Drosophila melanogaster: one gene and its partners. The protein of the gene in region 1 interacts with the protein of each later gene in a pairwise test. Each region holds a gene or a part of one and is shown on either strand. Other genes may lie near its edges.

Region 1 (5,437 bases):
GGCCAAGTTCTTTACAGAACTCATCTTGCAGAGTTCCCTAACCAGCAACTGCACAACAAGAACTGGCTATACAATAAAAGTTGCCACTTTTATAAACTTCTCAATGGGGGGTTATCTGATAAGTAATCAACACTTCAGAATGTTTTGAATTTTAACTAGTCGAGAGAGGTAATTAACTTAAAACCAACCGCTAGTGAGAGGTCTCAAAGGGTAAGTACCATGCGTTTTATTTGGGCCACATGCAGTGCTCCAGTGTTTCTAACGTAATCAAAATGTACTTCGATTTGGCATGAATTGCAATTCTTATCATTCAATAACTTAAATGGATTTTAATTGGTAATTGCCCACTTAAAGATTACAATGTGTATACTATTGCGAGCACCATTCCATTTTGGGATTACACTCAAGCGAGCTATAATCTTCAGGAAAGGGAAAGCTCCACATGCAGAAGTAGCCGATAATGATTATGACCCCAAAAAGATAAGAATAATGTAATTTTAATTTTGATCATTTATTTCTTATACTTTTCTTACTCTGTTTTAATAATAAAAGTGCGAATTTGCATAGGATATAGTGTTACAGCAAAAAGTGAGGCCTCATCCGATTTGACAGCCTCAAGTGGCTTGTGCTGTGCCGTAGAATATTCCACGGATGACGGCTTGGTTCCGGATTCTTGTGCATGGAACTTGAATCGCTTCATATCGCTCAGTGGCATATTTCCATCCAAGGTTGTTTCCCTAATCGCCAAACCGCCAAGACTATCGAATATATCCCGAATGTTGAAGCTAATCACCCTTCCTTCAGATTTATCCAAGAAGTGTTCAAAGCGGATCAAAATTTCTTGCTCTGAGAAGAATTCCAGGGTGAGTAGGTGAACGGATTGCGGAAGATCATTAAAGTCGGGAAGGGATTTGGATGGAGTTATTTCGACTCCACCAGTTTTGCTAAAGAACTTCCAAAAGGGAAGGAAGAGCTCTTTCTCAGTCTTACGTTCCGTCACAGTATCTCCATCTGTCGCGGAATCGAGAATGAGGTAAAGTTTTCCTCGGGCAATCAGACCTTTGCCATATTGCGTCTCATTCAGGGCTTCACCCACTCCACCACCGTCGTTGAAGAGATGACGACGATGGATCAGCATCTCTAGGGCACCATCCTCCAAACTGGCTCCACCCTGGGAGCGGTCATTCAGGAGGACCAAACGCTTGGTATCGTCTTGAAGAGCAATTCTCGATGTGACTGGATAGAAGTTTCCGCTCACAGGCTGTCGGCTTAAGTCGGAAACGAAGTCCTCGCGTTTATCCTTCACACGTTTCATCAATTCACGTCCATTTGAATCGGTATAGAAAACTCCGTTCGAAGAAATCTCACTCTTAAAGTTTGTCACAAATTCACTACCTAGTTTATCATCGATGGGAATAGGGCCCACCATCCACTCCAACTCCACTCTGCTTACGCCCTCGTAGATACGGATCACTTGCGAAATCCAGTCGTTCACATGCTGATGGACTTCCTTGACCAAACTTCCTTCATAGACTGTGAACTCAAAATCATTTTCAAACAATTCTATATCTCCATCCTGGCGGAATGTGTAGGCGCAGGATGTGTGACTCTTGTAAACGCCAAAGTTCTGGACTATTTTCTCAGACACACCGTTCATTTCGACCGACTTCAATCGTCCTGTATGGTTGTCCATCACTAGTTTAACAACCTATGGGTTATATATCGTAGGGATAAAAAACATTTAAGTTATTAGACAATCAAATGCACTTACCGAGTTTTCTACAACAGTCTCTGAATTGTTATCTTCTCTGGGATTAATCTTCTTTATCGATGAATGTTTGACCTCTGAGCTCTCGACTTTTTTGATAGAGTAACTGGATACCTTATTTACCGTTGCCTTGAAAACTAACTCGTGCTGGGTATCATTGGATCTGTACTCCAATGCCAAAACTTGCCACGGCACTGGAACCACCTCCGATGGAACTGTTCTGCCCTTCTCATCGGTTACTTGATAGTTCTCCTCCTTAACAGGAATGCGAACATACTGAGTGGAGCTGTGGGCCAGGGGATTGTATAGGGTCACCAAAACGTTATCAGCACCATCCTTGGTGAAAGCACACTCGCTGATGTTCAACCTCAGGCAACTCTCAAACTCTCCATAAGGCATGTTGGTCAAAAGACGCAGGGCATCGCGGGCATTGTTAGATGCCCCAACAATGGCCTCGTACATCATTCGATCATAGTCATCCGAGACAGCCTGCTTCTCCGTGCCCGTAATGGCATCATGATGTTGCATCACTCCCATGACCTGGCGCAGATAATCCAGGTCTATTTTATGCTCTTCGCTAGTAAGATTCGCGAGTACAGAAAGCTGCTTGGCCACCTGCAACATGTGATTTCCATCACGCTCGAATCGTTTCTGAGTGGGTCGGGAAGTAAAGAATCCAGTCCAAAAGCTATTCTTCTCGTGAGCGTATGGGAAAAAGTCCTGAGTCTTGTTTGGCCAGGACTCTAGGCTCTGGTGCAAGGAGTTCAGATAGCAGCTTGGAGTGGAGTAGAAGATATTGTATTTTGAACCAGACGCTTGACGTTCATTGATGTACCTAACGCAAAAGAAAGTTATAAACGATTTGTGTTTCTTAATCACACCTACTTGATCAGTTTGTCCATATTTTTGTAGTTAACTTTTGCGTCCTCGTACTGGAAATCACCGCCCATAGGAACCATGATGTGATTAGTGATATACACCTCAGACACATTCTTTGCATAACTTATAAAGTCATCTACCCTCTGTTTCACATTATTTTCTTCGCTGTCACCATCAATAATGGGCTGATCAGTGCAAAGTATGTCGAAGCAAAAGCCTGGAGTGTCCGAGTAAAAGTTGTACAACATGCCGCTGAAGAGACTGACGCCGCTCATCGATTCACTGGCATCCCAAATCATCTCCATTGTCAAGTCATTCATACGTGTGTCCTTGTCGTTATGATCCATTCGTGAAAAGAACTGTCCATCGTAGCCCATGTGCGCGAAAATTGCAGCCTGCTCGCGGGAGTGTCCAAAAGTATCGATCTGCCAGCCAACTCGAGGACGACCACAGGAGCCAAACGTCTCGTTGAGGAACCTACGAAGATTAGAGTAATCAAAGACTAAGGAATATTAGTGTTTCTAATTAACCCACTTTAATCCCACAGTGAATTGATCAATAACACCCTGGTAATTGACATTTGCCTCATCGTTCATACTCCAAGCTCCGCCAGTAAACTCGAAACGTCCCTCGTTGACCAGTTTGGTGACCACCTTTTTCATGGACTCTGACTGGACGTTCCACCACTTGGCAAAGAATGCCGTCTCCACCTGAATGAAACGACGCTTGGGATCCTGGAGGAGCTGGGACACCACACTATCCAATATATATTGGACACCGGCATGATGAATTTTGTTCTTGTAACCATAATAAGACTGATCAACTGTCTTCAACCAGCCCACATCGTTGTGGGAGTGAGGAACCAAATGGATGTTAACCATGTTCGCTTTTGTTTCGGGACATGACTGCAAATAATATCAAAGGATATAGTGATATCATTTTGAAAAGCATCAACAAATTTATATTACCTCATAGCCACAAACTGCTTCGGATTGTTTTGCGAAGAGCACCAATAAGATGGACAGGAATAAAATGCGACCCAAATAAGTCATCTTGTCATTACCAAGTACTGAATTCCCATTAAACCAAGACTGCTCCTTTATAGGGCGCACCGTTTCTAAGAAGGCATTGATAAGAAAATACATGATGGTCACTAAGATAAGGTAACCTAATTAGCAATTAGTGGGTTATTAAAAACTTGGTGAATACTTTTTTTTAGAATGCCCACCCTCCACGTAGCGATAAGAATTGGACCCATTATTTATCAACCACTTCAAGGATTGAAGCTCCTGAAATGCACTTGCGCCCTTATTGATAACTTAGCGTATTGAAAAAGAATTTAATATACATTTTTTTAAATAAAAATTATATGATTGAGACTCTCTGTAGTGAGTGGGAAAGGTTTCTGCACACTGCTTATAAAATAAAAGTAATCAACAGTCATAAGTAACTTGAATTATATGAGGCCGTAACTGTTAATTCCATATAAACATGGTAATACTCCACTAACTTCTAAAGTAAAACCTCAGAGTTAATTGGGTTAAACCCGTGCGGTTAATTGAATTTTGTAAAGTTTTAAAAAATTTTCATATGACTCGTATTACTTCCCTGTATGTATGAGGGACTTATTTCCTAATAAGTTAAAGCAAAACAACAGTGTTTTTATTCAGACATAATTTTATTTATTTCTTTGATTTTCATTGAAATACAATTATTCATGTTTAATGATGAATGTTCGAATCTGCATTGGATACAATGTGACAGCGAACTCGGCGGCATCTTGCGTCTGGTTAGCGGACAGCGGCTTGTGGGACGAGGTGTAGTACTCAGGTTCTGATCCCCTAATTCCTGAACCCTCAGCGTGGAACTTGAACTGCTTCATGTCACTCAAGGGCAGGTTGCCATCCAAGGTAGTTTCGCGGATTTCGACTCCGTTCAGGTAGTCAAAGATCGGGCGAATGTTAAAGCTAACCACTTTGCCTTCGATGTGATCCTTGAAGTTCTCCACACGCAGCAGAATCTCATCGTCGTTGAAGGGTTCTAGGGTGAGCAGATGCACCGACTTGGGGAAGTCGTCAAAGCTGGGAACCGACTTGGCAGCAGCGGTGGTGCTTCCAGTGTTCTTGCTGAAGAACTTCCAAAGGGGCAGATGGAACTCCTTTTCGGCTTCGCGCTCGGCGGACGTGGACTCGTCGGCGGCGTTAAGGATTAGGAACACCTTACCACGGGCAATCAAGGGCTGGCCGTACTTCTCCTCATTCAAGGCCTCTCCCACTCCATAGCCATCATCACGGACGAGTCGACGGTGCAGCATAAGTTCAATTTGGCCATCCTTCATGCTGGTGCCTCCTTGAGCACGATCGTTTAGGATCGCAAGGCGCTTGTTGCTGTCCTGCAGAGCAATGCGCGATGTGATGGGATAATAGTTTCCGGAAGTAGGCTGGACAGCAAGCTCGGGGGTGAAGTCCTCTCGCTTGTCCTTTTCGCGTCTGATCAACTCGCGTCCATTGGAATCAGTATAGAATACGCCATTGGAGGCAATTTCACTGCTGAAGATAGTTACTACTTCCGTGCCAAATTCCTCTTCAACCGGAATAGGGCCTACAAGCCACTCGAATTCCACGTAAGGCTTGTCCTCGCTGATACGGATGACCTGCGAAATGTATTCGCTGAAACGCTGGTGAACTTCCTTGACTAAAGCTCCATCGTAAACAGTGAACTCGACACCATCTTCCTGGATGACGAAGTCTCCTTGATTGTACTGACGGAACACATAGGCACCAGAGTCAT
Region 2 (5,535 bases), on another chromosome or scaffold:
ATGTGAGCGAACTAACCGCCGAGTCCAAGACCAATGGCCACGTGAGCTCTTCGTCCAGCTCTTCCTCCTCGGAAAGCTCGCTATCGTCCCGCTCCTCGCCGCGATCATTGAGTACTTCAGTCACAGCTGCATCTACTCTGCAGAGCAAGTTCAACGGCCACATGAGCGCCGCTCCAGCTCTTTTCAATGGAAATGGAAATACGTCACAGCTCTCGTCCAGCTTGCAACTATCCCGGCATGTGCTGCACAACCATCAATGGCACGGATCTAGGAGCAGCGTGTCAGCTGTAGAGAATGCTACGCAACATCAACAGCAGCAGGCGGCGGCCAGTCTGAGCCTTCGTCATTCGTTTTCCACAAGTTCAAATTACACGGAGACACTATCATCCTTGCTACGCAAATCAGCAAATACATGCAGCAAGGACACGCTGCTGTTTATCGACCAACAGAGTCACCATCATACAGCCGGACTGATCGAAGATGACGATGATTCATACATGGGCAGGTCCCTTTGGGTATGTCGAGATAGTTGTAGAATACCTGGAGGCATTCTTACTAAATTTATACGTCCTGTTACAGATATCGCCCGTAACGCCACACAAACTCATCACTGTTTCGCCCAAGAATTAGATGCGATATTATAATCCATATGGATGTATACTTTGGTAAAGAAACCCGAAAATGAAAGCGAAGCCGAAACAAGAATATACAAAACGCACTATAGCCATAAGCCTAAGGTTTACTTTATATGATATTTCTTAACCGGAGCTCCCGAGCGATAAGCTCGGGATGAAGATGTTATACAACTTTGTTTAATTTAAGATACGTACTCATATATACGATACTTGCAATACTGCATAACGTTTGAAAGTTTGATAAAACTTAAATATATTGTATAAGCATTAGACTATTTATTCAAAGCCAATGACGAGGATTAGTTTTCTTTATATTTCACCGAATTGACGAAGATTTTTATAACCTAACGACTACCGATATTTATTTAGCCAAACAATGAAGTACAATTTTATTTGATTGAGTTTTTCGTTCAAACTATAAATCTTCTTGTATAATTCCCTAACGATTTTTATGATGAAGTGCTTGGCATGCCTAAGTTAAGCTTTTTTTACATGAAACCAAGTTTCGGACTAAAATCTATGAGCATAGTTATAAATGTAAGGACACGTATTCTCTTTAATTACGATTACTTTGAATTGTACATTAATCTATCTGATTGTAACTTTTCCACAACCAAAAAATTCTGGCACAACTGCATATGATTCTTTCGATTCGTTGTCGGGCTACGTTTTGTGAATCGTTTATAATGCGGATCTATATACAAACATATATATTTCTTTAAAAATAATGTATTCTATATGTAGACGAAAGCATTACACCAAAACATTATATTGATAAAAAATGTTTGAGGACTCTACCACATTGTTTTCTGGAGAGAAAGAACTTTATTACGGTGTAAAATGTTCATTGTATTCATAAATAAACGTGAAGTTGTTGAATATGAAGTATGATTTGGAAGTGAACTAATAAAAATTAAAAAAAAAACACTTGGCTGGGGTTAGGAAGGTCTCTTTATTGTTGCATAAGCATCAGTTCTCAAATATTGTTGAATCCTGACATGTTCCGAATTCTTGTAATCCTGGATCGCAATATTGGCCATTTTCTTATTCATAACTGACGTATTAGCCAGATTTTCGTCATTGATGGAACGGATAGAACTCGACAACATTTTTACATTGTATTGAGCCGGAAAGTATGCTTCTGTTTTGGTTTTCATACTTGGCTCTCTCAAAATATGCATAATTCAAAGTAAAGCTTTCTTTCTTTCCACTTTCTCATGCTCTGGCTAGTTTACCGGGCTTACAAGCAGCCAGAGGTTCAACGTCTGCAGCGACTTGGTCGACAACTCAGTTCAGTTGGTGCACTTGACGCGTCTGGTTCTGCTTCCCACCACTGCGGATTAAGCCAAGCCTGACGAAGGCCAAGTCCAAGAACCTTCTACAAGAAGCAAACGAGCGGAGATGGATTATCGTCTAGTGCTGGTATGTCATCATTACGGGTGTGCTAACTGCACACTTTTTCTATGGCTCGCTGGTCAAGTTCGTTGCCCAAGTCTTTTGTTTTGCAATGCGTTAACATTGGCGAGCTAACCGCTTACGTTTACTGTTACTCAGTCCCTGGGAACCGCCCGATTCTGGAGCATGCTAATGAATTAAGCTAACCAAAGAGCAGCGTACGTTCCGATCCGTTCTGCCCCTTCTTCTAGTTCGGTCTTCTAACTACTGGCTTTTGGCCGGGTGCCGAGCAACTTTCCCGTTAGGCGTGTGGCACGCATATTGGGAACAGAGCGCCAACAAGTTCTTTCCTGACCAGATCAAATCAGCCTGTCTTGGCCCCGAAAGGCGGTTAGGTCTTCATTCTGCAATTGAGCTACCAATATTTACCTATGCAAATTGTGCTCTTTCCATTTGGGAGCTCTCTCGCAGGGCAAACAAGTTTCTGCCTCATTAGAAGGGAAAAAACAAAAGAACGAGCTTAGCGGCTGACCCGATTTTGGATTCCCCGACGCCGCATTCAAATTACGCTGTGAACCGTGTCACAAAGAGAGAAATTCCACAGCTTCTTGGCACTGCAGCCGCCCACCGATCTGTACCACTTGACCTGGATTACTCGGGTCTGTCCGTGGAACTTTTGGTTTCATTGAGATGCCACTGCCCAGAACTTCAGGGAAAGTTCCCTCGAACAATTAATGGTCAAGTGAGCACAGCGGAGAGATGCTGAAGTGGCGTCTCGATCGCAGTTGCTGCCTCGGTTTGTTTATCTTCACAAAAACAGAAACAGAAACTTTCGCGCTTTCGCCAAACAACAAAACATCGAAAAGTGTATGTATGGCCGGGTAAAAGATCTCGATTCTTTTTCCGGACAATATTGGGCCATTCACCGACTCTTCTGGGCAATTAACTCGACTCCAGACGGCTACGGCCACTGATTGTACCTCCACTGTGACTATCTTTTGTTTTGTAGAAAATTCTCAGCTTTCTGCTGCTGGCCCAATTGGGTTTCTCCCAGCCGCAGCAGCAGTCGCCATCTGACTACGGTGAGGAGCAGCCTCCGGAGGGTTATTACGCCTTCGTCGAGTCCCCGAATGCGGTGCCTCCCAAGGTCAGGCCGCCACCTTACACCTTTGTAAATGCGGAGTGCAAGGACGTGGCCGCCGGCAAGAAGTCTGCCGTGTCCGTTCACAACATTTGCGGAGATCTAAACAAGGGTCAGATACCCAAGAATCCGCTGGGACAAAATGTACTCGGGGAGCCCTATCCCTTGTAGGTGAAAATATTTGCGTAACAAATTTCAGACATCTCTAATGTACACCTCCTCCACAGCGAACTTATTCGCAACCAAACGCTGAAGTTCCTTTCGAAAACTTTGCCCGTTCTAAAGGCCGACGATACCCTACCCAAGGTCACCCAGATCATTCGAGATGAACCCGTGGAACAGCTGGACAGCAACAACATCGACAGGCCCTATCCCGCAGGAGGTTCCACTCGCGTCCGCCGCAGCCTGCCGGAGGGCGTGGAGTCCAACGAGTACAGCTACTTCGATCCCGCCCTGGACGAGGAGGAGCAACACAAGCAAAGGGATCGGAATAACCAGCAGAGAAGGGCCGCCGAGGAGAGGAAGCCAAGGAAATTCTGCGATGGCGGTGGAGTGTAAGTTTTTAGCATGGAAACGGGGGAGTAGAGTTATTCCAATCTTAACTGCTACATAAATGAAAGATAAATATATCGTATTTCTTAAAGCACGGGAAAGGCGCGCATATAAAGCTAAAGAGGTCACCACTTAAAAATTATGAGTCATCTTTATAAAATTATAGATTCGAAGAATTATCAAGGCAAAGAACCCAAATGAGCTTGTCATTTCACTTTCCACATCATAATGTAAAGCCATACAACTAAAGAAGCTCAACACTTTAATCGACATCCATAGATATTGTAGAATAGGTTAAGAGAGGAGTACATCATGGGGTATTCAACTGCTTAGCATTTTGACGACACAACTGCGTGCAGGTCAATTAATAAAAGATTTTTAAACTTTTAACTCCACCCACAGATTTTGCACCTTATACAGGGCAATTCAGGGAGACACCGGAGGAGCAGCCCCTGCCACGCCCACTGCGGAAAGGCGCGAGGAGGTGGGTCCCATCCGGTACGAGGGTCCTCCCACTCCCTGTCCCGCCAAGGTAGAGTACGCTACTCCCGTCTTCGCTAAGAACTACCAAGGCGCCTGGCGTTATGTGGTCCAGATTCCCTATGAGGGCTACTTCACCCAGACGGTGGAGGTGACGCGTTGCATTCAGGCACGCTGTCACTACCTGGACGGCGGTTGCTTGTCGTCACCACGCTGGGTAAGCCTGTTGGTGGCGGAGATCTTCTACCCCAATGCGGAGGACACAGTGCCCACCAGCTCGACCACCACTCAGGCCCCTTCTGTGCAGGATTTCCAGGCCTACCAGCAGTACCTGCAGAAGAGGGCAGGCGTGGCTACCGCCTCCGACGGAACCTCGTCTGGAGCAGCCGGCCCCGCGGCGCAGGTGGACGCCCACTGCGATGGACACGATGAACTGGGCTGCTTCCAGGTGCGTCTCTACTACGACTGGTTCCTCATCCCCGGCTCTTGCAAGTGCTGGCGCCCGGACTACTTCGCCAAGTACGTGCGCCGGAAGTCGGTGGCCGAGTTGTGAACACTTCCTGGACAGGATTTTCGAAGGAAATCCTTAGAATAAGACTAAGTTCTAGCCTTTAGAGGAACACAACTTTGAGGTGAAAGGCTCATTCTAGTAATCCACCCGGGTGCCCCACAGCCCTATACGGATCACGCAGAGTTTGCAGTTCGTGCATCTACCAGATACAATCTTAACCTAGGCGGTTAGCTCCCTCTTTCGACTGATTAAGCCAAGAGCAGTGCATTTCTACTAATAAATACGTTTCTACCTAATCATAAGAGAGCCTCTCTATTCGGCACTTTGCTGAGACTGCGATGTGGTATTGGCCTAGCCTGTGTGTGTTAGCCTCCTGGAACTCTCTCAGCTGCGCTTGTGTTGGAAGATCCACCGAAAACCCACAGAAACCAGTCGCGCAAGTTGCGCATGCGTGCGAGACTCGGGCCCAAAACCTCGGCCGCTGATCTAGTGTGCAGTCAATATAACCAGTTGGTTGGCTTTGGGTGTTTTGGCCGGGGATCCAAGCGACCGAGCTGCATTACATACACAGAATAGTTGCAGAGTTTGCGCAGAAGCCTTGACGAACGGCCTCAAAAGGCTGCCAGACGAGCCGCGGACTCGGATTTCAGGAGCCAATTTTCCGCATAGCTTGGGTAAGTCAGCCAAATGGAGGGCCGTCTCTTTGTTTATAAACAAAATAAGCAACCAAAGTGGACTAAGGTACAGATGCAGCTGCGATAATAACATTGAGTAAACTTGGTACTTGAAGGCAAGAAACTAACAAAATCATTCATTTGCAC
Region 3 (4,572 bases), about 13 Mb from region 1:
AGTCTATAATAAGTTTACATTCTGATCCAACAAAGCGCACAAACAAAAATTTATCTAACAACATTTGTGACGAAAAACGTATTTCTTTTAAATTTCTACATTTTTCACTTTCTCCGCTTTATTCTTATTTATTATTAGTCTTCGTATATGTCGGGCATCAACCGCAGATTATCAATGCTTCTTGAAAAGTTAATAATGAATATAAAACATTCACGAATCAGATACAAAAATCACTTCATGTGAAGTAATTCAATTCGTTAGTGTTTCGGAAGCTCACAGAGATATAACAGAAAGAAATTCGATTACATCATATTTATTTCGTAATTGAGGTCTAGGAAAAATTCCAGGAAATTACAATCCGTGCAAAATTTTGGATTCGGAAAAATTGAATTTTAGATATTTAAAGGCTTCAATCGTTTGCCCATGATTGCCCACCAATTAGTTTTTTTTTTTGCCCACGTCCATTTTTTTAGATATAAATTTTTAAAAAAGTTCGAAAATCAAAAATTTCGCTTTTATTAAAAAAAATTTTTTATCGCAATAACATCGTTTGCCCACCCTATCGAATTTTGAAAAAATGTATACTTTAGAAAATATAAGACATTCAAGTTTACCTCGGTCTACTCAGAGAATAAAGCGTTTGACCAAAGACACTAGAATAACAAGATGCGTAACGGCCATACATTGGTTTGGCACTATGCAGCCACTTTTTTGGTGACGGCCAAAATTACTCTCTTTTCGCTCACTCCCGCTGAGAGCGTAAGAAATCTAAAAATATAATTTGGTTACTTGTGTGAGTAAAAACAAGAGACGAGAACGCGTATGTGTGCGTGTTGTGCTAGAAGACTATTTTCGTTCCGAAATCAATTCTGATCGAAGAAACGAATTTACATTGTACATATTAGGGTAGTTTTTGCTAATTTCCTAGCAATATGATAAAATAAAAAAAATTTTAAAAATTCGCGCCCTGACTATTATAATTTTAAAGTTTTTTAAATTTGTTTGTTAAAATTTGTTATGTTTAATTCTAATTTGTCTCTCATCTGACAATTTTTTAAAAGCGAAATATTTTTTTTTAAACACTTTTAATGTTAATGTTACATCCTTTTAAGTCAAATGACTTAATAAATATACTTATTAATAGGAAGTACAATAGAAATTATTATAACTACTGTAATTTCATAAATTTCATAAAAATATGATAACTAGAATTATTCTAGTGTCTTTGCTTTGTTCATATCTTGAGGCACGAAGTGCGGACACAAGCACTCAACAATCATTGCCTTATTAATTTTTCACACGCCTCAAGATGAATACTCTAATGACAAATATTCTTGAAATTTATTTTTGTGATAATATGTACATAGATTTGGCTATTTCTATTCTATTCTATCAAATAATAATAACGTTAAGGCAATGCAAAACAAGAATTTTTCGCATGGTACTAATTGATCAAAAATAATATAGATTTAAAGTCAAAGAACTTTGAAGGTGAAGGGCATATTTTGTCAAATTTACAATGCATGAGCATACGTGTGCACACATACAGTTGTCTGCTATCACTTTATGTGTGATTCGCTGTAGCGCTCTCAGCTCTCTCGCTCTCTAACAAAAATTCGAGAGAGCCTGGAGCCATCTATAGAGCCACGGCGAAAAAATCGTGGCGAAAAACGTTTAGACCGAGGTAAACTTATATTTTCTAAAGTATACATTTTTTCAAAATTCCAAAGAATGGGCAAACGTGGACAAACGATGTTATTGCGATTTAAAAAAAATGTTTGAAAAAAGTAAAATTTTTGATTTTTGAAAATTTTTAAACTCTTTCGAAAATTTATATCTTAAAACCTGGACGTGGGCAAAAAAAAAAACTTATTGGTGGGCAAACATGGGCAAAAAATGGGCAAACGATTCCAGCTTTTAAATTTCAAAAATTCGATTTTTCCGAACCCATCTTCTTTGAGCTGAAGAGTTTAAATCATTTTGACTTAAAAACAACAAGGACTGAGTGTAAGGTATAAATCAGCAAGCTTTATATAAATTAATAAATTAGTAAAGTACTTACTTTTGTAAAACTAGTTGAAAAACAAGTTCTTCGAAAATAGGCTTGTATTCTAATAACCAAAGCACGTTATACAGATACCCTGCCGTCACATGGTACGGCTTTTTGAAATAGGGGAATTTGGCGGATATGGCATCTATGATAATATCGAAAGCCATTGGCACGGCAGTTAAGATGCGATCCAGTACTTTATGGATGGGTTTCAACTCATTTCGCACGTGCTCCGAAGGGCATCCGTGGACCCAATCGGATTCATCCATATCTCCAGGAATCCAGTGGACAATTAGTTTAGAGACTCCAATCGGTAAATATCTATTATGGGTCACCATTAGTTCGATACAAAATTCAGTATAAGCTTCGATTATCTCTGAACTTCTTTTCTTCCAGTTAAGGGACAGTAACGCCTCGACAACGGTTACAAATTCTGGAGTCAAATTATGAACAATTCGTTTAGCATCTTTTATGATTATTACAACCTCATCATCCTTAAAAAAAGAAATCAAACGTAAAGAATAACCAACAATTATGTTAATTTAACTTACGCTGAGTTCTGCTTCCCGGAGGAAGTATGTGAACTCCTTGACCAGATGGAAATTTCGTTCTTCTAGGGCAACGCGCACTGATTCTGCGAGCCCCTTCTCTTTGGGTGTGGAAAATCGAACTTTGTTGATGGCCACGGCATTTGCCTGATTTCGTTTTACGCCAGAAAACGTCTTTAAAATGGAAGTCACATCCGTCTTACTCGTGTAGAAGGACATATTAAATTAATAATAGCTTTATTTCTGTTTGAACTTAATGTTCGAAAGGATAATCCACACTGACGTAAAATGCATACAAATAAGTTCTAGATAATAAATTATTTTTGAAAGAGAATTTCATTTTTATTTTTAAAGCACAAATCGTAAGAATTTTACTTGGAAATATGCACGTTGTTTTGAGTTCCAATAATCAGTGTGGCCATAGAATTTCGAAAAATTATACCGCACACCCTCCATAAATACACGTTCTTTACTTTTGCTTTTTAACGTGCTCATTGAGCAAAATTTAATGTTAGTCTAAATTAAAAAACTCGTTTTATTTAACTAATATACTAACCCTCAAATTCTTTTTTCCAAGCCAAAGATAATAAATAGCTTTTTTTTTAAATTTTCATCACCTAGACGCATAGTTATTTCTAATCGGGACAGATTGACAGAGAAATTGCTATTTTTGCTTAATTTTGTATTAAAAAGCGTTCTGTCCTTGATGGTGGAAGAATATTTGACATCCCAGTTTAACCATTTTAAGGGGCTAACGCTACAGTCAATATAATAGACGTTTTAAATTTTCCGAAACATCGATATTTATTGTAGACTATGGATGCTATTAGGATCATCGCTATTCGAATAACAAGAAGAAGACCTAGAACGCTAAAGGTATGCCGAAGAAATACAAAATCAAATACAAAATGTACATATATAAAAAGATATCCTTAAAATGCAACTGTTTGAACAGCTCTCACTGATTTTTAATTTTCTAATATAACCAGTTATACCAGTTTAAATCTAATTGATTTTATATTGTAATTTTATTATACGTTTTATATTTAATTTATTCTACATATTAAATTAAATGAATTTAATAATATTTAAATCTTTTTTCTTATATTTCAAGTGTAAATGATAATATTAATTTTATTTTAGAGAACATCGGAAAACTTCGATGTTACATCCACGATTTTTGTGAAAAACATCGATGTTTCGCGCTGAAACTACTACAATCTTTGAAATTAGATTCCAGAAAAAAAAAAAACAATTTATCCTATGACGATGAATTATGCGGATCTCGCCTATATAGATTCATATATTTCTTATTAAACTATTTCATTACGCTAAGAAATGAACAGTGTGGCATGTACATATATGCTGTTAAATATTTATATGAGTGGCTTTTATAAAATTAATTATTAATTATTATTCGGTTTTTTTTTTACGATTTTTTCGATATGTAAAGCGGACACACGAAATGAAAAGTAAATGCCTTTTTTCATATTAAAACAGAACTTATTTACTCAAGAGAAGAAATAGTTTACTCAGTGGTCTATTGATGCTTATTGCACATCATAACAAGATCATTCTGCCACTAATTTATTTAATAAAATTTTTATTGCTGACGCCACTTCAGATTTGACTAACAAAATTTTGATGTCGGCAACAAAAGTTTGGATTTGTCAAGGGGTCAAACATTGTTGGTGAAACGAAACAGGCATATAAAATATATAGAAGGAATTCATTAATTTATTTAAAGGAGAGCCAATAGTGTTGTTTGTAAATAATTCTATTTGATTTAATTACTTAAGTGGTCAAAGTGCCACAAAAAAGAAATTGCGGACATCGTAATTAAAACTATGAAATATGTGGCAGCTATGTTGTCTGGAACAGCTTAAACAGCTGTTTACCGCTGAATGCATATTGCGATATCCAAACTATAGAACAAATTTTCCAAAAGCAGAGCACCTAAAAAAGAAATCAAAA
Region 4 (7,562 bases), on another chromosome or scaffold:
AAAAGTCATAAGTTCAAATCACATTTTAACTATATCTCAAATTTGACATTTAATTATAACCTAAGGTTAAATTATTTCATATTTCATGAAAATATACATCGCTCATAGTAAACATACATGTATTTAAATACCTACTCATACGAACTTTTCAAACCTATTAACTAAGCTAACGTGTTTCACATCCATAACTTAAATTAGTAGAGACCAGAAGTGGAGGTCAAGGTTAACTGCCTAACCTGCACTTTGGGCGCTTTATGACTTGCAAGCAACGATCTCCTTTGCATAGTCGTTAAAACCGACTTTTAAGATAACTCCCAAAAGAGGAGGAACCCACGAGACCAACCAGACCACAAAATCTCCCGGACATGGCTTGATCCCATTTCCCGGTTAGGAGTGAAAAAGAAAATATGTTATTATTGTTTGGGTTTCAAACATCGCACATAACATAACAGGACCGCATGTAATTTCCGCTTCCCAAAAACAGATGAAAAAAATGCTTGTAAATATTCGAAAAACTTATTTTATTGTTCAGGTTTCAGCGATCCGAATTAAAAGTTTATTTAATCGTAATATAGAGCTATATAGTCTTGAGCTGGCGTCCGTCACAGACGACGGCCGCCCATCGATTGTAGAATAGTGATAGAACATAGCAAGAGTTGGATAGACTGTTAGCTGTACAATTGGGGCACTCATTTACAATGATCCCTAGCTGTATGAGTATGCGATTCATTAATTACAAAAATAAAATAAAAACAAACAAATGTCGTCCTTGCAGGCGCACCAGTGGCGCCCTCTAGCACCGCTGGCGCCGGATCGTGTAAAGTTAGACTGTACGAGAATTGACTAGATCAATCTAGCCCTAGACGATGGCCCTATCCCTAATCACATCTGGATCTCTAGATCTAGAAGTTGAAGGGGATGCTGGGCACGGGGTACTGGTAGCCCTGGTGCTTGGTGGGTGCGGGTGGGACGTAGACTGTGGTGCGCTGCGTAGGGGGTGGCACGTACACGGTGGTGCGCACTGTTGGTGGTGGCACGTACACGGTGGTCCTACGAGTGGGTGGTGGAGGAGGTCGGGTGGTGCGCACAACAGTGACGGGGGGCAGGTAGGTGGTTGGTGGCTTAGTTGGTGGCCGAGTGGGTGGTGGAGGAGGGCGGGTGGTGCGCACAGTTGGGGGAGGCAGGTAGGTGGTTGGTGGCTTAGTTGGGGGCCTCGTGGGTGGAAGAGTTGGCCGAGGAGTGGTACGAACGGTGGTGCGAACGGTGACCGGTGGCAGAGGCTTGTTGGTGGGTGGCAGGTAAGTAGGAGCCGGGGTTGTCAAACGACGAGTGGTGGGTGGGTAGGTTGGTGGCCGGGTTGGTGGGCGAGTTGGTGGTGGGGTGGCACGGGTGGTGCGCACGGTAACGGGAGGCAAGTAAGTGGTTGGTGGCTTAGTTGGTGGCCGAGTGGGTGGTGGAGGAGGGCGGGTGGTGCGCACAGTTGGGGGTGGCAGGTAAGTGGTTGGTGGGCGAGTTGGTGGCTTGGTAGGAGGCAGAGTTGGCCGAGGAGTGGTACGAACGGTGGTGCGAACGGTGACCGGTGGCAGAGGCTTGTTGGTGGGTGGCAGGTAAGTAGGAGCCGGGGTTGTTAAACGACGAGTGGTGGGTGGGTAGGTTGGTGGCCGGGTTGGTGGGCGAGTTGGTGGTGGGGTGGCACGGGTGGTGCGCACGGTAACGGGAGGCAAGTAAGTGGTTGGTGGCTTAGTTGGTGGACGAGTGGGTGGTGGAGGAGGGCGGGTGGTGCGCACACTTGGGGGTGGCAAGTAAGTGGTTGGTGGGCGAGTTGGTGGCTTGGTAGGAGGCAAAGTTGGACGAGGAGTGGTACGAACAGTTGTGCGCACGGTGACTGGTGGCAGTGGTTTGTTGGTGGGAGGCAGGTAGGTAGGAGCTGGAGTCGATGCACGGGTTGGTGGTGGTGGTGGCCTAGTTGGAGGAGGGGTTGGGGGGCGAGTTGGGGGACGAGTTGGTGGTGGGGTGGCACGGGTGGTGCGCACGGTAACGGGAGGCAAGTAAGTGGTTGGTGGCTTAGTTGGTGGACGAGTGGGTGGTGGAGGAGGGCGGGTGGTGCGCACAGTTGGGGGTGGCAGGTAAGTGGTTGGTGGGCGAGTTGGTGGCTTGGTAGGAGGCAAAGTTGGACGAGGAGTGGTACGAACGGTGGTGCGAACGGTGACCGGTGGCAGAGGCTTGTTGGTGGGTGGCAAGTAAGTAGGAGCCGGAGTGGTCAGACGACGAGTGGTCGGTGGGTAGGTTGGTGGCCGGGTTGGTGGGCGAGTTGGTGGGGGGGTGGCACGGGTGGTGCGCACGGTAACGGGAGGCAAGTAAGTGGTTGGTGGCTTAGTTGGTGGCCGAGTGGGTGGTGGAGGAGGGCGGGTGGTGCGCACAGTTGGGGGTGGCAGATAAGTGGTTGGTGGGCGAGTTGGTGGCTTGGTAGGAGGAGGAGTTGGACGAGGAGTGGTGCGAACAGTGGTGCGCACGGTGACTGGTGGCAGTGGTTTGTTGGTGGGAGGCAGGTAGGTAGGAGCTGGAGTCGATGCACGGGTCGGTGGTGGTGGTGGCCTCGTTGGTGGTGGTGTTGGACGACGAGTGGTCACTGGTGGCGGTGGCTTGTTGGTGGGTGGCAAGTAGGTTGCTGGAGGACGAGTGGTTGGTGGCTTAGTTGGGGGCCTCGTTGGTGGAGGAGTCCTTGGTGGTGGTGGTGGAGGAGGCAGGCGGGTGGTCACTGGTGGCAGTGGCTTGTTGGTGGGTGGCAGATAGGTTGCTGGAGGACGAGTGGTTGGTGGCCTAGTTGGCGGCCTCGTTGGTGGAGGAGTCCTTGGTGATGGTGGTGGAGGAGGCAGACGGGTGGTCACTGGTGGCAGTGGCTTGTTGGTGGGTGGCAGGTAGGTTGCCGGAGGACGAGTGGTTGGTGGCCTAGTTGGGGGCCTCGTTGGGGGAGGAGTCCTTGGTGGTGGTGGTGGTGGAGGAAGACGGGTGGTCACTGGTGGCAGTGGCTTGTTGGTGGGCGGCAGGTAGGTTGGTGGTGGCGTGGGAGGCCTGGTGGGTGGCCTGGTGGGTGGCCTAGTAGGAGGGCGCGTTGGCGGCCTTGTTGGCGGCTGTGTGGTGCGGACGGGCAGATCGAATGGAACATCGGGAGGGGGGTAGAAGTATCCCTCGGCGGCACGAGTCTTGCGCTGTAAAAAGTGGCTTGTAAGTTCCTGTTGGCAGGGAATCGTCAGATTTCCGCACTTACCTCATGGTTATCGGCCGATGCGGTGGCCACAGCCACAACGCAAAGCGCCAAGACGAACAGTGCACTTCTCTGTGGGGAAGGAACGAAAAACACAGCCTGATTAGTGATGCTACATATTGATGGACTTCGATGGTGTCGCCGTACAGAGGTGCTCAGACTAACGACTGGCTCTAACAACCTGATTGCGACTAATTGATCGCCTTCTAGGCTAATCGCCTATTCACGCTTCGTGGCAACTTGGTCGGGGTCGGAGGAGGCAAGGCAACTCCGCTGGCCTGCAGTTCAAAACTGTGGTAAAGTTCAGCCAACAAACAGCCAAGCTGGCGAATCGATTTACCATAATGCATTGAAAATCACCCGAAATGCTAACGCAGACATTCAACTTTGACGGGCATTAGCATCTCTAGGTCAGTCCCCTCCCCCGGAGCTATGTATGTAAATATCGCAGATTGACGCGATTGATACATAATGCCCATGCAAATGCGGAGCGACACAACAGATCCGAAGCTCAATGGGGATCCGAGGAAGTAGCCCCTGAATTATGGCTTCCGACGATGCTGTCAGCGGGTTTATTTGCATTTGTCGCTGGAGTTTCGGCAAGGTCATTGTTAGTTAATGAAAGTGCTCGTCGATGGCCGCAGATGGCCAGTGTCGATGAGCTCAATTAATTGGCTGACGGAGAATTTTCGGGGGCTATAAAAATAGCCGATTATGAAAGAAACCGGCCCGGATCCGGGCCCCAAACTCCAGACCAGTTCTAGCCATGATTATATAATAATCAGCAAAGACTGGCCATAAAACTAGTGAGAAAACGCAAAATTAGCATACGCATCTGGCATGCGAAGAATAGTAAGCCCCGGTTGTCATTTATAACCAAATCTGTTAGATTTTAAGCCATACCTCCAAAATCGACTGGGTCCAGTTTCATTTATTTTTTTTGTTGGTTTCTGATTGTTTGCTAATTTCAAAAATATTTGATCTTTGTATGTAAATGATTTTAAATAATTTATGCTAATGAACCTAAAATTTTTGCTGTTCTAACTTGTTTTAAATATCAGCCACAATTGAGCTGAGGATATCGAGAACCAAATCGGGTTTGACTTATGGCGGGTGGTGCTTAAAGGTTAGAAAGTGAAAGGACTTGGAGAGATATTTGCAGGGGCAAACCGATTCCCTCGACTGTTCAGTGAGCTAATTGGCAGCTAATTAATCTGATTCACACCGCCTCGAGGGCAGAGCCCCAATGCCAAGACTTTTGGGGCAACTTTATTTTTCCGAAACTGTGAGAGATTTGGGTGAATTAAAGTCTGGGGAAAAGATCAGTCGGCCCTTTAACAAATGAAATCTTCTTTGGCAACAATGATGGTGATTAATGGACGTCTATTCAATGGCAACGTCAAGAATCTAACTTAAGGCAACGTTTTTATGGCTATTTACCTAAATACGCCAATCGCAAATTGCGACTAGCAAATGTCAGAAGCAAAAGCGAAAATTATGGAAAAAAAAACAAGTTTTAATTTCATCTTCAGCCATGTCAATGCTGACATAGAAACTGCCGCCACATGGCAGAATGCACATGCAGCTGGTCCATCCTAATGACTTAATACGCAAATTGCGGATCGCGCCAAGGCGATTTGCTCTGTGGGCGGCCAACACGGCGTATGCGTAACATTGCACTCGATGCCACTTGCTCAATTTCTACATGGCTTAAATGTCAACCGCCATCTGGTCAACTCTTAACTCGCGATGATAGCCCGGGTCCAGAGCTGGACCCTCGACAAAATGTGAAATGCAAATAGATGGCGATTGAATTGGAACTGCAGTCGGTGTTGGCAATTTATTTGCTATTTCTTCTTGTTTGCGATGCTTGGGTATGCACAGAGAAAAATCGGAATGATTTTGAATGAACTTAAAGGCCCTATCTTATCTTATAACCCTTTTTTATGATTGTATCCCTATAAAATTGTAGAACATGCTTTTTTAGTATCCTTTTATACAAGTTCGGATTAATAAATTTCTGAAGATCTAGCGCTAAATAGCTGACACATTATTTTAACACAAGAAATGTTTTAATTTAAAATTAAAGTTTGAATACAAATATCATTGAAAATTCGTATTCGTTCAATTATTTTCTGTACTGTCACAAGCCCAAACTATAAAACGTGGAAACTCCCTAAATATTTTGGACCAACAAAACTGATACTTTTTATCTTCATCTGCACTGCTTTTCCTTTGCGAAATGTCTGTCTTGTTTGTCTTCACACCGAGGGACACTTGTTTCGTTATTTTGCACTTTGCACACGATCATTGTTCGTTTTGGTTTAGATTGGATTGGAACTGGGTTCGGTTACCATGGTGTACACTTTCGGACTGCTACAAACGGCAGTTGCGGTAATCCCGGGTGCGTAGGTAATCCTAGGCGGTGTGCGTGAATAATCCTTGCGGACGGTACTGTGAGGATCGGAAAGGAGAAGACGCGACCGATCGTATCAAATTCAATGGACGATTGAATTTGATCGATGCCAAGCTAAGTTGGTTTAACTTCTAGGTCGAGTGTGGAATACCAACTAAAGCATCAAAACTTGTAGATTTTCTATATATACTCGGACCCAGCATCTGCCCACTTGGGCAGCGGCGTCGGCAGAGGCATCTTCACCTGGGCGACAGCTGTTAACACACGGCCAAAAGCCGAAATCGAAAGCGTTTTGGCCAGATGAAGATGAGCCGAATACGAAGTCTCTGCCGCTGCTGATGCCTCAGCCTTCGTCGACAGCGACGCCGACAGCTGAATGCTGACCAGAAAGCCAACCAGTCTCGGTTGTTTGATGTTTGTGAGTTAACAGCCAGATAACATGGCTAAGACAAAAAGGCAGCCAAATTAAGGCCCAGCAATTATGGCAGAAGAGCAACTAAGCCAGACGCACCATCCGGCCATCCGACCATCCATCCACCAACGCCTGCTCTTGTTGGCATTTCTATTTAGCCAACTCCGATGGCTGGCAAATATGCTCGTACTTTTGGCAGAAGTCTGCGGCGAGTGTTAAACACGTTGTCGTGCAGCATTTAATTTGGTAAATGGGTCCGAGCCACCGAATTTCATCAATCGATGAGACAAGCCGAAGCTGGCTCGACGATCGAGAGCCAAGTCAAGGCTCCCAACGAAGCTTGCCAAGGCAAATAAGGCCGAGAAGATCAGGCGTTGGCTAATGGCACTTACCCCTCGGATCAGGCCTAAATGCAGTTGGAGTTGCGAGTCGATGTTGGAGTTGGAGTCGGCCAATTGAACATGAACCGGTTGACTTGGCCAAAAATGCGTGTGCCCGGGGGTCAGCAGATGGCAGCCGGAGTTGAATGTTAAGGTAGGCTCAGCTCGGCTCAGCTCATCTCTGACTCCGTGTCAGCCGAGTGACCTTTAAACGCACACTCGAAGATCTCGATGATCGGTGATCGGTGATCGGTGTTCAGTGCTGCATTCTTCGAGCGACTCCCAAACGGGTTTCGGCATTTGTCATCGCCTGCATTTCGCCAGTTTAATAACTAGAATTTATTTATTCGCAAGCAGTCACGTCTTGATTTTAATGAACCAATCAGAGTGACACCCACTGGCCACGCGCAGTCATGAGCGGGCCCAAAATAGATGTGACTTTGAACTCTTTCGGCCCAAAGGTGCGTGGTCACTGGGTAGTCAGGGTCTAGATAAAACGGCGGAACAACACCCAGAGGAAGTGCAGCCGAACGGAAGTCACCCCTGCGGCCATCAGACGCCACTTAGAGCCACATTAATTCTTGTCTTTTATTACATAATTGCTGGCTAACTTATTCGGGTCATAACTTGCTTCGCACATCTTCACAAAGGCAATGACACTTGGCGGCGACTGCTGACATTTCAAATTTGTCATTGCGGATAACTGAAGCGACTGAATTGTTTTTATTATTTTTTTCTTTTTTAGTTTTTGGCTCATCGAATGCTTCTTGACTGCCGGCTAGAGGAAAAGCCTTTTTTTGTCACCTCATCCGACATTGCAACAGACGATTATTCAACTTCCATACCGAGTGTCTGATAATTTGCTGCCTCAAATTTTGGACTCCACTGAAGGACGTTAGCGGTTTTCGAATCAAACAAGACCGTCGCTTGAGCCTGTTCTAAACCGCATTCTAGACAGGTTGCTATTTGGATAATTTAAAAATATATTTGTTAATCTAGGGAAGTTTCAGAGCTCGTATGTGAATTGTTATGAGCCTTTGTCTTCGGGCGCGGAAATCATAATATCTAGTTTTTCATTATGTTTTATCA

What was found.
Region 2: the proteins of LManIV (region 1) and spz6 interact in a two-hybrid assay, tested with the Drosophila melanogaster proteins (one large-scale study listed by BioGRID).
Region 3: the proteins of LManIV (region 1) and Tif-IA interact in a two-hybrid assay, tested with the Drosophila melanogaster proteins (one large-scale study listed by BioGRID).
Region 4: the proteins of LManIV (region 1) and CG13731 interact in a two-hybrid assay, tested with the Drosophila melanogaster proteins (one large-scale study listed by BioGRID).

Annotation. Positions count from the first base shown.
Region 1 is NT_033779.5:8,768,646-8,774,082, forward strand, and holds LManIV (lysosomal alpha-mannosidase IV), read right to left. Parts: upstream 3,700-5,437; coding exon 3,616-3,699; intron 3,553-3,615; coding exon 3,182-3,552; intron 3,125-3,181; coding exon 2,654-3,124; intron 2,604-2,653; coding exon 1,772-2,603; intron 1,709-1,771; coding exon 530-1,708; 3' UTR 514-529; downstream 1-513. Other genes in the region: LManIII (lysosomal alpha-mannosidase III), read right to left, coding at 1-24; LManV (lysosomal alpha-mannosidase V), read right to left, coding at 4,359-5,437.
Region 2 is NT_033778.4:24,755,459-24,760,993, forward strand, and holds spz6 (spatzle 6), read left to right. Parts: upstream 1-1,919; 5' UTR 1,920-2,036; coding exon 2,037-2,057; intron 2,058-3,039; coding exon 3,040-3,338; intron 3,339-3,398; coding exon 3,399-3,725; intron 3,726-4,125; coding exon 4,126-4,756; 3' UTR 4,757-5,008; downstream 5,009-5,535. Other genes in the region: Usp15-31 (ubiquitin specific protease 15/31), read left to right, coding at 1-515, 580-630.
Region 3 is NT_033779.5:22,248,344-22,252,915, reverse strand, and holds the start of Tif-IA (Tif-IA), read right to left. Parts: upstream 3,041-4,572; 5' UTR 2,818-3,040; coding exon 2,602-2,817; intron 2,545-2,601; coding exon 2,063-2,544; intron 1-2,062.
Region 4 is NT_037436.4:17,383,126-17,390,687, forward strand, and holds CG13731 (uncharacterized protein), read right to left. Parts: upstream 5,832-7,562; 5' UTR 5,623-5,831; coding exon 5,620-5,622; intron 3,338-5,619; coding exon 3,269-3,337; intron 3,210-3,268; coding exon 903-3,209; 3' UTR 511-902; downstream 1-510.